Linked DNA regions of Macaca mulatta. The protein of the gene in region 1 purifies or fractionates together with the protein of each later gene. This does not show direct contact. Links are inferred from orthologs where the notes say so. Each region holds a gene or a part of one and is shown on either strand. Other genes may lie near its edges.

What was found. Proteins that work in one complex are often made in the same cells at the same time.
Region 2: the proteins of SAE1 (region 1) and SUMO3 purify together in Homo sapiens (affinity purification with mass spectrometry; 3 studies listed by BioGRID and IntAct, with this or other methods). This does not show direct contact. The link is inferred for Macaca mulatta from reciprocal best matches to the Homo sapiens genes SAE1 and SUMO3.

Annotation. Positions count from the first base shown.
Region 1 is NC_133424.1:59,608,716-59,615,165, reverse strand, and holds the start of SAE1 (SUMO-activating enzyme subunit 1), read right to left. Parts: upstream 3,705-6,450; 5' UTR 3,603-3,704; coding exon 3,505-3,602; exon of another isoform or gene 3,421-3,504; intron 1-3,420. UniProt on the Homo sapiens protein: The heterodimer acts as an E1 ligase for SUMO1, SUMO2, SUMO3, and probably SUMO4. It mediates ATP-dependent activation of SUMO proteins followed by formation of a thioester bond between a SUMO protein and a conserved active site cysteine residue on UBA2/SAE2.
Region 2 is NC_133408.1:2,710,364-2,716,713, forward strand, and holds part of SUMO3 (small ubiquitin-related modifier 3), read left to right. Parts: intron 1-3,213; coding exon 3,214-3,342; intron 3,343-6,350. UniProt on the Homo sapiens protein: Ubiquitin-like protein which can be covalently attached to target lysines either as a monomer or as a lysine-linked polymer. Does not seem to be involved in protein degradation and may function as an antagonist of ubiquitin in the degradation process.

The sequences.
Region 1 (6,450 bases):
GCTCCCACCCCCTCAAACTAAATTCTCCTGACGTGTCGGCTTCCCCAACCCCTCCATTAATTCTATACACTGTACTCACACAATGCCCACCATCACCCAAATTTTACCTCTGAACTCAACCCCTCACGTATTTCTACTTAGTTGTATAAAAAAACAAATCTGGGCAGGGCATGGTGGCTCACGCCTGTAATCCCAGCACTTTGGGAGATCGAGGCAGGTGGATCACAAGGTCAGGAGATCGAGACCATCCTGGCTAACACAGTGAAACCCCGTCTCTACTAAAAATACAAACAAACAAAAAAGCCAAGCATGGTGGCGGGCGCCTGTAGTCCCGGCTACTCGGGAGGCTGAGGCAGAAGAATGGCGTGAACCTGGGAGACGGAGCTTGCAGTGCGCCAAGATCATGCCACTGCACTCCAGCCTGGGCTACAGCGAGACTCCGTCTCAAAAAAAAAAAAAAAAATCTGAAACCTAAAAGAGAACTGACTTTTCCCTGACCCCACCAAACCTACAGCTCCCCATATCTTTCAAAATGGCAATTCCATCATTCCAGGTGCTCAAGCCAAAAACAGTGGTGTCATACTGGATTTCTGTCCCAAATCCTGTTCCCTCTTCTACCTTCAAAACATATATATATCCAGAATATATATATATTTGACCTCTTCTCTTGAGTTTCAAGCTACCAATATTTTTGTCTCAACTAGATTACTGCAACAGTCCAGCCAGAATCTTTTTCATTTCTGCCAGGAATGGAAACACAAACCAGGCCAGGTGCAGTGGCTCACGCCTGTAATGCCAGCACTTTAGGAGGCCAAGGCAGGCGGATCACGAGGTCAGGAGATGGAGACCATCCTGGCTAACACAGTGAAACCCTGTCTCTACTAAAAATACACAAGATTAGCCGGGTGTGGTGGCAGGTGCCTATAGTCCCAGCCACTCAGGAGGTTGAGGCAGGAGAATCGCTTGAACCTGGCAGGCGGTGGTTGCAGTGAGCCAAGACTGAGCCATTGCACTCCAGCCTGGGTGACAGAGCGAGACTCCATCTCAAAACAAAAACAAACAAACAAAACAAAACAAAACAACCCACAGATCATGTTATTCCCACACTCAAAACACTCCAACAGGTTTTCCCCACACACTTAGAATAAAAGCTACTCAACTCATTTGGTTCTTGCCACCTTATTTCTCTAATTTGACGATCATGCCTGGGCCTCTGGGAATTTGCACTTGCTGTTCTCTCTGCTAGGAAAGTTCTCCTAGATGATCACAAGGCTTTTTCCCTTCTTAAGAGGCTCAATGTTACCTCTTCAGAGCCCTTTCCCAGCCAACCTATCAAAACAACCCTCCCACTTCACCATCCTTTAATGACTGACACATATGTACACATTTGTGGAATTTTTTTTTTTTTTTTTTTGAGACAGGGCCTCCTCACTCTGTCACCCAGGCTGGGGTGTAGTGGCGCGACCATGGCTTACTGCAACCTCCGCCTCCTGGGGGCTCAGGTGATGCTCCCACCTCAACCTCCAGACTAGCTGGGACTATAAACTCATGCCGCCATGCCTGGCTAATTTTTGTATTTTTGTAGAGACTGGGTTTGGCAACGTTACCCAGGCTGGTCTCAAACTCCTGGACTCAAGAGATCCCCTCCCCCCAACTCAGCCTCCCAAAGTGCTGGGATTACAGGTGTGAGCCACTGCGTCCCGGCTAAGTAAAAATATTGATCGGTGAGGCCAGGCATGGTGGCTCAGGCCTGTAGTCCCAGCATTTTAGGAGTCTGAGCTGGGGGGAGATCTCTTGAGGCCAAGGATCGCTTGAGCTTGGAAGTTCAAGACCAGTCTGGGCAACGTGGCAAAACCCCATCTTACAAAAATATATATATAAATATTAGTCGGGGCCGGGCGCGGTGGCTCAAGCCTGTAATCCCAGTACTTTGGGAGGCCGAGATGGGCGGATCACGAGGTCAGGAGATCGAGACCATCCTGGCTAACACGGTGAAACCCCGTCTCTACTAAAAAATACAAAAAAAAACTAGCCAGGCGAGGTGGCGGGTGCCTGTAGTCCCAGCTACTCGGGAGGCTGAGGCAGGAGAATGGCGTGAACCCGGGAGGCGGAGCTTGCAGTGAGCTGAGATCCGGCCACTGCACTCCAGCCGGGGCGACAGAGCGAGACTCCGTCTCAAAAAAAAAAAATAAAAAATAAATAAATAAATAAATAAATAAATATTAGTCGGATGATGTGGTGGGGTGCGCCTGTAGTTCCAGCTACTTGGGAGGCTTAAGAGGGAATATCACTTGAGACTTGGAGGTCGAGGCTACAGTGAACTGTGATCCCATCACTGCACTCCAGCCTGGGCGACAAAGAGGAGAAAAAAAAAAAAAAAAGAAAAAAAAGCCGGGCACAGTGGCTCAAGTCTGTAATCCCATCACTTTGGGAGGCAGTGGCGGGCAGATCACTTGAGGTCCGGAGTTCCAGACCAGCCTGGCCAACATGGTGAAAACCTGTCTCTACTAAAAATACAAAAATTAGCCGGGTGTGGTGGCGTGAGCCTGTAATCCCAGCATTCGGGAGGCCGAGGCGGGTGGATCAGTTGAGGTCAGCAGTTCGAGACCAGTCCGGTCAACATGGCGAAACCCCATGTCTACTAAAAATACAAAAATTAGCCGGGCGTGGTGGCGGGCCCCTATAATCCCAGCTACTCGGGAGGCTGAGGCAGGAGAATCGCTTGAATCCGGGAGGCGGAGCTTGCAGTGAGCTGAGATCGCGCCACTGCACTCCAGCCTGGGCGACAAGGGAGAGACTCCGTCGAAAAAGAAAAGAAAAGAAAAGAAAACCCCATCCCTAAGCTACTCCACAATGCCCAAACTATGTCTCCTGTCTTACCAAGGCACAGCCCCGTACCAGACACAAGCAACCTTTTCGGGAGCCTACTGCCGTCCCCCTCCAGACTCTCCGAGCCTCTCAAGAGTTCCATTTGACATAACTTGCTCCAAAACTCCTCAAAACCCGCATTCTTTCAGCCTGGCCCGCCCCTGAGCACCCACAAGAATGTAAGCTCCCGTCGGCCCGGTTGGCCAGTCCAGTCTCCCCCGTATCCAGCACGGAACCGGGTCCCACACCATCGAATGAATGAACTATGTCCTTCACCTCACCCCTTCCACGTACCCCAGCCCCTCTTATCCCCTAACCGCGACCTAAATCCCACAATCACCGCTTTCGGGCCTCGGATTTCCTGAGTTTGAATTCTCCCGCTCCCTCAGGACTCCCCAATCAGAGCCCCCTTCAGAGCTCCCATCCTTCGGAACGGCTCTCCCAACCACTTCCCAGACCTTCCAGAAACATCCCCAATCAACTCCTCTAGTTCCCTCAGGAGCGAGACGATCCCGGGGCACATAATTCCCGCCTCCTCCCTTCAAATCACACCTTCCCGCTCCTTCCGGGCCGCAAACGCCTCAGACTAGACGCCCCCTCCAGACCCTCGGCGCCTCAAGCCGCGCCGGCGCTGACCGTTTCTGGGCCTCCAGTCCCCACAGGCGGATCTGCCGGTCATACTGCGCCGCCTCCTCCTCGCTGATGCCGCCGCCAGCCTCCTCCTTCTCCACCATGGCGCCGGCTCTTCCTGCCTCAGCTCACGTCCCGCTCACGCCAACCGCCCGCCAGCCCCGCGCGCCACCAACCTCCGCCGGCAGCACACCCGGGGTGCTTCTGCGCGTGCGCAGACCCCCTCCCACGCCTGCGCAGTACCTCGTCCAAGGAGCCTGGGACCAAAAGTACCTCACGAGACTCAAAGGCGATCCGGCAACTGCATGTCACGTGACGGAGGGTCCAACCAATCCTAGCCCCAAAAATGGCGCCGGTTAAGGCCCCGAGGGCGTTGCCCACGTGGTCACTTATGAGGCGCTTAAATTCTGCAAATATTTAAGGCGTGCATACTGAGATCCCAGCAATAGGGATGTTGTAAAATAGGGTATTGAGTAAAATCGACAAAGCCCTGTCCTCATGGAGTTTACGATCCAGTGAGAAAAACCCAAAGAGAAATAAATATAAACCCAGCGATGACAAATGCTTTGGAGAAAAATAAAGCAGGACATGGGGCTACAGAGTAACAGGGGTGGTCAGGGAAGGCTTATCAGAGGTGACATTGAACTGTCAATTTTCTTTTTTTTTTTCATACAGATGAGGTCCCGATGTGTTGCCAAGGCTGGTCTCGAAATCCTGGTCTCAAGCTATCCTCCCGCCTCTGCCTCCCAAAGTGCTGGGATTACAGGCATCAGCCACTGTTCCCAGGCTTTCATGTCCCTACTATGCGTTGCACTTTGTGCCCAGCCCTGGACATACAATAATAATAAAAAATGGACACATCTCTGCTTTGGAGGCAGTCACGGCCCAGTGGGAGAGAGAAGCATTAAGAAAACAGGAATAGGCCAGGCGCGGTGACTCACGCCTGTAATCTCAGCACTTCGGAGGGCCGAGGCAGGCAGATTAGTTGAGATCAGGAGTTCGAGAGCAGCCTAGCTAACATGGCGAAATCCCGTCTGTACTAAAAATAAAAAAAAAAAAAAAACAGCAGAGCATGGTGGCTCACACCTGTAGTCCCAGCTACTTGGGAGGCTGAGGCAGGAGAATCGCTTGAACCCAGGAGTTGGAGCTTGTAGTGAGCCAAGATCATGTCAGCACTCCAGCCTGAGATAGAGCGAGACTCGGTCTCAAAAAAATAAATAAATAAAACAAAAATAACAGAAAAGAAAACACGGATGGCCCCAGGTGGGCAATATAGTGAAACGCCATCTCTATTCAAAATGCAAAAATTAGCTTGGTGTGGTGGCACTGAGCCTATAGTCCCAGCCACGTGGGAGGCTGAGGTGGGAGGATTTCTGATGTTAGAATCATAGGCTTTTTAGCAGGGCACAGTGGCTCATGCCTGTAATCCCAGCACTTTCGGAGGCTGAGGAGGGCAGATCACGAGGTCAGGAGTTTGAGACCAGCCTGGCCAAGATGGTGAAACCCCCTCACTACTAACAATACAAAAATTAGCCGGGTGTGGTGGCATGCCCATAGTCTCAGCCAATTGCCAGGCCGAGGCCGGAGAATTGTTTGAACTGGGAGGCAGAGGTTGCAGTGAACCAAGATCCTGCTACTGCACTTCAGTGTGGGCGACAGAGACTCTCAGCTCAAAAAAAAAAAAAAAAGCCACCACGCCCATCTATTTTTTTTTTTTTTTGAGACAAGAGTCTCTGTCGCCCACACTGAAGTGCAGTGGCGCAATCTCCACTCACTACAAGCTCCACCTCCCAGGTTCACGCCATTCTCCTGCCTCAGCCTCCTGTGTAGCTGGGACTACAGGCGCCTGCCACCATGCCGGGCTAATTTTTTAGTGAAGACCAGGTTTCACCGTGTTAGCCAGGATGGTCTCGATGTCCTGACCTCATGATCCGCCCATCTCGGCCTCCCAAAGTGCTGGGATTACAGGCTTGAGCCACCGTACCGGGCCTAATTTTTGTATTTTTAGTAGAGACAGGGTTTCACCATGGTGGCCAGGCTGATCTCGAACTCCTGACATCAAGTGATCCACCCACCTTGGCCTCCCAAAGTGCTGGGATTACAGGCGCGAGCCACCACACCTGGCGGAATCATGTATTTTTATTTAAGAATTGGCATCTGGCGTGGTGGCTCACGCCTGTAATCCCACCTAAGCACTTTAGAAGACTGAGGTAGGAGAATCACTTGAGACCAGGAGTTCAAGACCAGCCTGGGCAACATGACAAGACCCCTGTCTCTACAAAAAAAAAAAAAAAAAAATTTTATTAGCTGGGTGTGGTGGCGCATGCCTGTAGTCCCAGCTACTTGGGAGGCTAAGGTGGAAGAATCCTTGAGCCCAGGCGTTGGAGGCTCCAATGAGGTATGATGGCACCACTGCACTCCAGCCTGGACAACAGACCTTGTCTCAAAAAAAAAACAAAAGGTGCCTAAGATGTTTTTCAGATCCTGAATTCCAGCAGAACAGCTGATGCCAACCAGTGTGAAGACCCCAGAGAGGAACCAAATTGACAGGAGAATAGAGTTTCTTCAACTCCCTGTTTCATTACTTCACCCTGCACTCAACCAACCAACGATCCCCACACTTCAACCCACTCCAAAACCCTTAAAAACCCCTGAACTCCCTGGGGAGGTGGATTCGTGGTTTCCTTCCATCTCCTCCCTTGGTTTTCAGTGGCCCTATGATTAAACCTCTTTCTCTGCTGCAACCTGGTGTCTCCCACTATTGACTTGCTGCAAGTATGGGACAAAGGACCTATAATGGTTGAAAAACTTTCAACAGGCCAGGCACAGTGGCTCATGTCTGTTATCCCAACACTTTGAGAGGATCACTTGAGGCCAGCAGTTTGAGACACAGCCAGACCCCATCTCTACAAAAAAATATATAAAAATTAGGCCGGGCACGGTGACTCATGC
Region 2 (6,350 bases), on another chromosome or scaffold:
CGCCCTCGCCTCCCCATCAGTCTCCCAGTGTGCATCCACCCCTTCCCATCATGCCCCCCGGTGTGCGCCCACTCCTCCCCATCGCGTCCTTGGTGTGCGCCCACCCCTCCGTATTGCGTCGCCCTCCCCATCACACCCCCCGTGTGTGCCCACCCCTCCCCGTCGCGTCCCCCGGTGTGCGCCCACCCCTCTCCATCACACCCCCTATGGTGTGTGCCCACCTCTCCCCATCACGCCCCTTATGGTGTGTGCCCACCTCTCCCCATTGCGCCTCCCCTGCCATGCCCACCCACCCCTCCTTATCCAGCCTTGGGTGTGCTTTAGTTTCCCCCATTGCCACACTGGGGTGTGCATCCTTCCAGTCTCAGTCCTGGGGTATGCACCCTTCATTCAGGTGCACTGGCCACTCCTTCTTGGGAGGGTCCTTAGTCGCGGTCTCCAGTGATCATAAAAAGAGAACCTTTCCGAAGCCCTTGGTGTGCACTCTTGGCCTCTATGTTACATCCTAGTGGAAGATGACTAGAGCTGAAGGCTCTGTAAGGATGCTGTCTCTGATACTGGCCTGGTCCTGGAGGTGACCACCCTCCCTTTACAGATGAGGGTGGAGGCTCAGTGCCAGACACTGGTGGAAACTGGGATGGAACCGTCCGGAACCATGGTTGCGGCCTCTGGAAGTCTGCACTCTGCTTGCTGTGGTCAGACTCCAAGGAAACCTCCCCTATCCAGATGGCATTTGGAGTGACCTTCGCTTTTTACATTTTGACTCCAGTGAAGTCAAAGTTCTCCCACTCAGGGGTTGTTTGAATATTTAAATACTTGTTAAAACTAGGCCAAATATAAATGTCCTTTCTTTATGTTTTCGTAGGTGGCTTCCTCTTAATGAAGAGTACATGTAATAAAATATGTATGATACTCATTTTCTCAGCAGTGTTTACACTTAGCTCTGCCATGTGGTCAACCTCAGGCTCCAATTCCGTTGAAAACACTTGTTGAATTCCAGAATGATTGAGTGGCTGCCACCTCACAGGCCCTGCTCCTGGTGGTTCTCCTCTGAGCCCATGTGGGAGCAGCTCTACCCTGTGGGGCTCTGAGGAAGGGGAAGAAGTGGACTCTGGGGCCCAGTGGTGCTGGAAAGAAGAGCTTTTGGGTCAGGCAGGAGAATGTTCTGACTTCCCTGGATAGCTGAGGCGGAGGATTGACTAGCAAACTGAGGCCCATGTTTTTAGGGCTTCATTTTTTAACTCACGAGTTCACTTGCTTATTAGGAATTTACCAGGGGTCTGGGACAGACCGACATTGCTGGTGTCTGTCTGTTTGGAGCAGAGGCACTGTGGCCGGCCCTGCCCTGCCCCAGCCTCTCCTGGGGCTGCAGCCATTACCCTGTGGGGACATGTGTGGGCCCTGCATCTGTGCCTTTGAACACACTCATATCTTCCTTGCCTAAAGAAGCCAGTGCATCCTCATGCTTGGGGAAGTGAAGGGGGCTCATGCAGGGGTCCCCACTTCCATCCCGCCTGGAACTGTTTGCATGCTCTTCCTTCCTAGGCCAGTTTTCCCTGCGCTGGAGGCCACATTTGGGATGGGGGGATGGGGGTGTGCCAGCTCACCACTCAGGCTGCTGCCAAGCCACCGGCGTCCCGGGAGTGGGCAAGGGTGTCTGACCCAAGACTGGAGTTGGGGAGTGAGTGCTGGCCCAGGACACGCACCTTCAGGTTCGCAGCTGGAGCCCCTCACTGCCAGGGCCCCTTGCCGGCCACTCTAGTTCCCTTGACAGAGCACCGTACCTCCCCAGGGTCTCCAGGAACCAAGCATGGGGGCAGTCCCCGGGTTCACCCTCAGGCGAGCCTTCTACATCCCACTCCCTGTATTTAGGCATCGCTGGGACAGTTGTCCCTCTCCCAGCCAGGGAAGGTAAGGAGAAGTGGAGAGAAAAGGCATGTAACGTACAGTGCTCCTTGCAGGCAGCAGCTCAGCATGGGGGGAAAGGGTACCAGGATGCTCCAGACTTGACTTTCAGAGTGAGCTGGAGGGCCCTGCCTCATTGCTTCACTCACAAACGAATTTATCCCAGCAGTGCAGGCCGGCCACAACTCCAAATGCATTTTCAGGCAACAAGACACCCCAGTTGTGCCATTGTTGAGTAGCTTCAGGCATGGCATGAATTAAAAAGTAAAAAGTCCCACCTACTGCCGCTCAGATGGGACAATTTGAAACTAGAAAGTACTCGGGGCCGGGCGCGGTGGCTCAAGCCTGTAATCCCAGCACTTTGGGAGGCCGAGACGGGCGGATCACAAGGTCAGGAGATCGAGACCATCCTGGCTAACATGGTGAAACCCCGTCTCTACTAAAAATACAAAAAACTAGCCGGGCGAGGTGGCGGGCGCCTGTAGTCCCAGCTACTCGGGAGGCTGAGGCAGGAGAATGGCGTAAACCCGGGAGGCAGAGCTTGCAGTGAGCTGAGATCTGGCCACTGCACTCCAGCCTGGGCGACAGAGCGAGACTCCGTCTCAAAAAAAAAAAAAAAAAAAGAAAGTACTCGGAGGTGGCTTCCCTCACATTTGCTGATGTCAGGGCAGCAAGAAGGAGGCTGGCTGCCTGCTGTGGGAAGTGGCCGTCCTCAGTTGGATTCCAGAAGTTACCACTTGAATGTCCCACAGGGTTTCTCTGAGTCACAAATGTTTTCTTCTGATTTTGGTTTCTTTCACTAATGCTATATAGCTGTGTGAGTTTTGGATATGTGTTTTTACTGATTTCATAAGAATTTTTTTAAAAAAGAGATGGGGTCTTGCTATGTTGCCCAGGCTGGTCTCAAACTCCTGGGCTCAAGCCATCCTTCCATGTCAGCTTCCCAAAGTGCTGGAATAACAGGTGTGAGCCACCGTGCCCAGCCTACAAGAATAACTTTAAAATAAAGATGGATTTTCTCTGATTTTTCCCTAGACTTACTAAACAAGGTTTTTTCTTTGAATTAACAATATCAGAGGACCGTAGACTTGCATTGTTTTACACATGGATTCTTAACAAGTGGAAGTTAAAAATAAATTCTGTGTAAAAATAAAACCATCACGAGTGACTCTGAATTGCTGGAGAATTTTAAGAATTAGGTTGGTTTTAATGACTTTAGAAAGGCAACAATTACCTAAAGACTTGCCCTTTCAAGTCGTGGTAATTTTGAGATACAGTTTTTAGGCCAGTCTCCGGTGTCTTCTGCAGGAGGGCGTGAAGACAGAGAACGACCACATCAACCTGAAGGTGGCCGGGCAGGACGGCTCCGTGGTGCAGTTCAAGATCAAGAGGCACACGCCACTGAGCAAGCTGATGAAGGCCTACTGCGAGAGGCAGGTGCGGCGCCTCGCTCCCCCACGGGGCTTCCCTGTGTGCGCGCTGGTCCTGTGTGCACCAGGCATCCCCAGAGCACGAGTGTCAGGGCTGGATCCAGATGTAGCCACTCGAGGTGCCCTCTTCATGGATGGGCAGGCGGGGGCTTGTGCTGTAAACCTGGCCTAGGCTGGGCTTGCTGACTGTGTCCCCCATGGCCTTTTATGAGGTGGAGGGACCTAGAGGCTCAGAGAAATGTGGTGGGTTTTTCTTCCTGATAAGGCGGCTGCCCAGGGTGCTGTGTTCTCCATGGGGTACTAACATCTGTGAAGTCTGTGACGCTGAAGGCTCTGGGGGGCCCTGCTCAGATCTGGCCATTCTGGGGCTGCAGGTGGCATGTGCCCCATGCTGCTGTCACCCCGTCCTCACGTATGAGCTGGCGTGGCCCTGAAGAAACACTGCCCTCATCTGCAGTGTGGTTTTCCATTTTGTTAGGAAAGGCAAGAAAGCTTGTGATTCGTTCCCCTGCTTCCTCAGTTTCAGGATAGTGAGCTGCCTCACTGGCAGTGCCCAGCTGGGTGGACGCCTTCCGGCTGCTGTGTGTGACTTGATGTGTGTGTGTGTGTCTGTTGTTCTTGGTAATGCTGTGGAGGACTCACCCTGGGCCAGGGGGTCCCTCTCTAGGCCACTGCTATGGGCTTTGCCCGCCAGCTGCTGTCTGGCTTGTCTGGGGCCCGGCCCTGCAGCCAGGTGCCTTTCCCCAGGGAGCCCTGCTTGCCTGAGTGGGACCTAGAGGCTGCTTTTCTTCAGCTGCTCTGAAAATACAGCAACTCGTTGCCCTTTTATTTTACTCTTTTGCCTGTGGATTTTCAGTTAGATTTCCTCCTCTTTCCCTCTCACTTTGGATACCCTGCTCAGAGGGGCGTCACTGGTGACCACCTTGCACTCTTTATTGACAAGCAGACCCTCTGACTTCCTTTCTTCGTGTTTGCTGATGGCAGATCTTATTTTCACCTGCGAAAGGTGAGACTGAGCTTCCAGACACGCAGGCTTCGGTCTTCCCAGCAGAGTGAGTGGCCTGGTGCCATGCAGGCCCCATGATCCAGCCTCTGCCTGGTGCTGGACCCTGGCCCTTGTCGGAGTTTATGCTGCCTGGGCTGGTGGCCACATTCTCCTCTGCACTGTGGGATGGCAGGCGTGTGGGGCCGTGTACATGTGGTGGGGGCTCTGCCCTTCCCCCTGCTCTTCCAGGGCTCCCCTCCTGCCCCACCTGCACTGCTGCTTGTGAGGCTGGCTGCTCAGCCGTGGTCCCGGGCCTCCTGTTCAAATCCTAGAGGTTCTCTCTTGGTGTTTCCTGGATTAGTCCTCCTCCCTTTTGTGTTTTGTGGTGGAGCACATCCTCCAGGGTCTTCTCGGAACAGGCAGAGAAGGGTAGCGTCTTTGAGACACTGCATGGCTGAACGTGACTTTTGCTTTTATAAACTTTCACACTTCAGTATGTGGCTGCACGCAGTATTCTTGGTTGAAACTCTTTTTTTTTTTTTTTTCTTTCAGAGATCAGCCATGAGAATAGCTCCCAATGTTGAAAGTGAAAAGTTTACCAGGCATGGTAGTTTATGCCTGTAATCCCAGCACTTTGGGAGGCTGATGTGGGAGGATCATCTGAGGTCAGGAGTTCAAGACCAGCCTGGGCAACACAGGGAGACCCTCTCTCTACGAAACATTAAAAAAATTAGCCAGGTGTGGTGGTGCAAGCCTGCAGTCCCAGCTACTCAGGAGGCTGAGGTGGGAGGATTGTTTGAGCCTCGGAGGTGGAGGCTGCAGGGAGCTGAGGTCGTATCACTGCTGCAGCCTGGGTGACAGAGCAAGACCCTGTCTCAAAGGAAAAAAAAAAAAAAAGTGAGAAGTTCAGTGGATTCTGATTCTCTGTGCTTTGTTTGTAACTTGGTTTTTCTCTGGAAGTATCTGGGACCATATTCTGGCATTCCAGTGTTCCCTTATGTGCCTCAGAGGTGTGTGATTTTATCACTCATGCTGCTGGGTACTTTATGGGTCTGGACATTTATTTTTATTCAAGAAATATGCCCTATGTCAGTTCTTTGATAATTTGTGTCCTTCTCCACACTCTGGTCCCTCTTTTGGAGTTCCTGCTGCTAATTGTCCTAGTTTACATTTGATAATTTTTCTCCCATTTTGCTTTGGGCTTTATTATCGCTGTTGGTCTCCTTTCCGGGAGGTCATTTCAACTTTATCTTTCCACTTTCTGTGGACATTCTCATCTCTGTCATGATTTTTAATTTCCAAAAGTTCTTTTCTCTTTCTGTTCTTTGAGTGTTTTTTTTTTCTCAGTAGCAGTTGATTTATTTTTTTTGAGACACGGTCTCGCTCTGTTCCCCAAGCTGGAGCACAGTGGTGTGATCATGGTTCACTGCAGCCTTGACCTCTGGGGCTCAATTGATCCACCCACCTCAGCTTCCTGAGTAGGTGGGACTACAGGTACATGCCACCACACCTGGCTAATTTTTTTATTTTGTGGAGATGGGGTCTCCCTATGTGGTCCAGGTTGGTCTCGAATTCCTGGGCTCAAGCGACCCTCCTGCTTGTGTCTCCCAAAGTGTGGGATTACAGGTGTGAGCCACCATACCCCTCCTCAGTAGCAATTGATTGTTTTCTGAAGGTAGTATTATTTTTTACTTCCCATAGAACTTGAATTGTGAGTGTAGGTGTGTGTGGTGTGTATGTCCATGTCTTTGTGCATGTGTGTGTATGTGTGGGGGTGTGTGCGTGTGTGGGCCTGTGTTGGGAGCGTTCTCCTGCCTCCTTCCTGTCCGTTCTCTGTGCTCCTCCCCTCCTCTCCTCTCCGGGCTGCTGCACAGTGAGCCTTACCCTGACTGCTGTCATGCAGGCTGACTTCTGTGCAAGCATGGAGCACTGAGAAGCTGGTGAGAAGCCATGTACATGGATGGCTGTGCTGCCAGGGCTGTGTATCCCTGGAGTGACATGTCTGGATTGTGGGTTCTGGAGGCACCCAG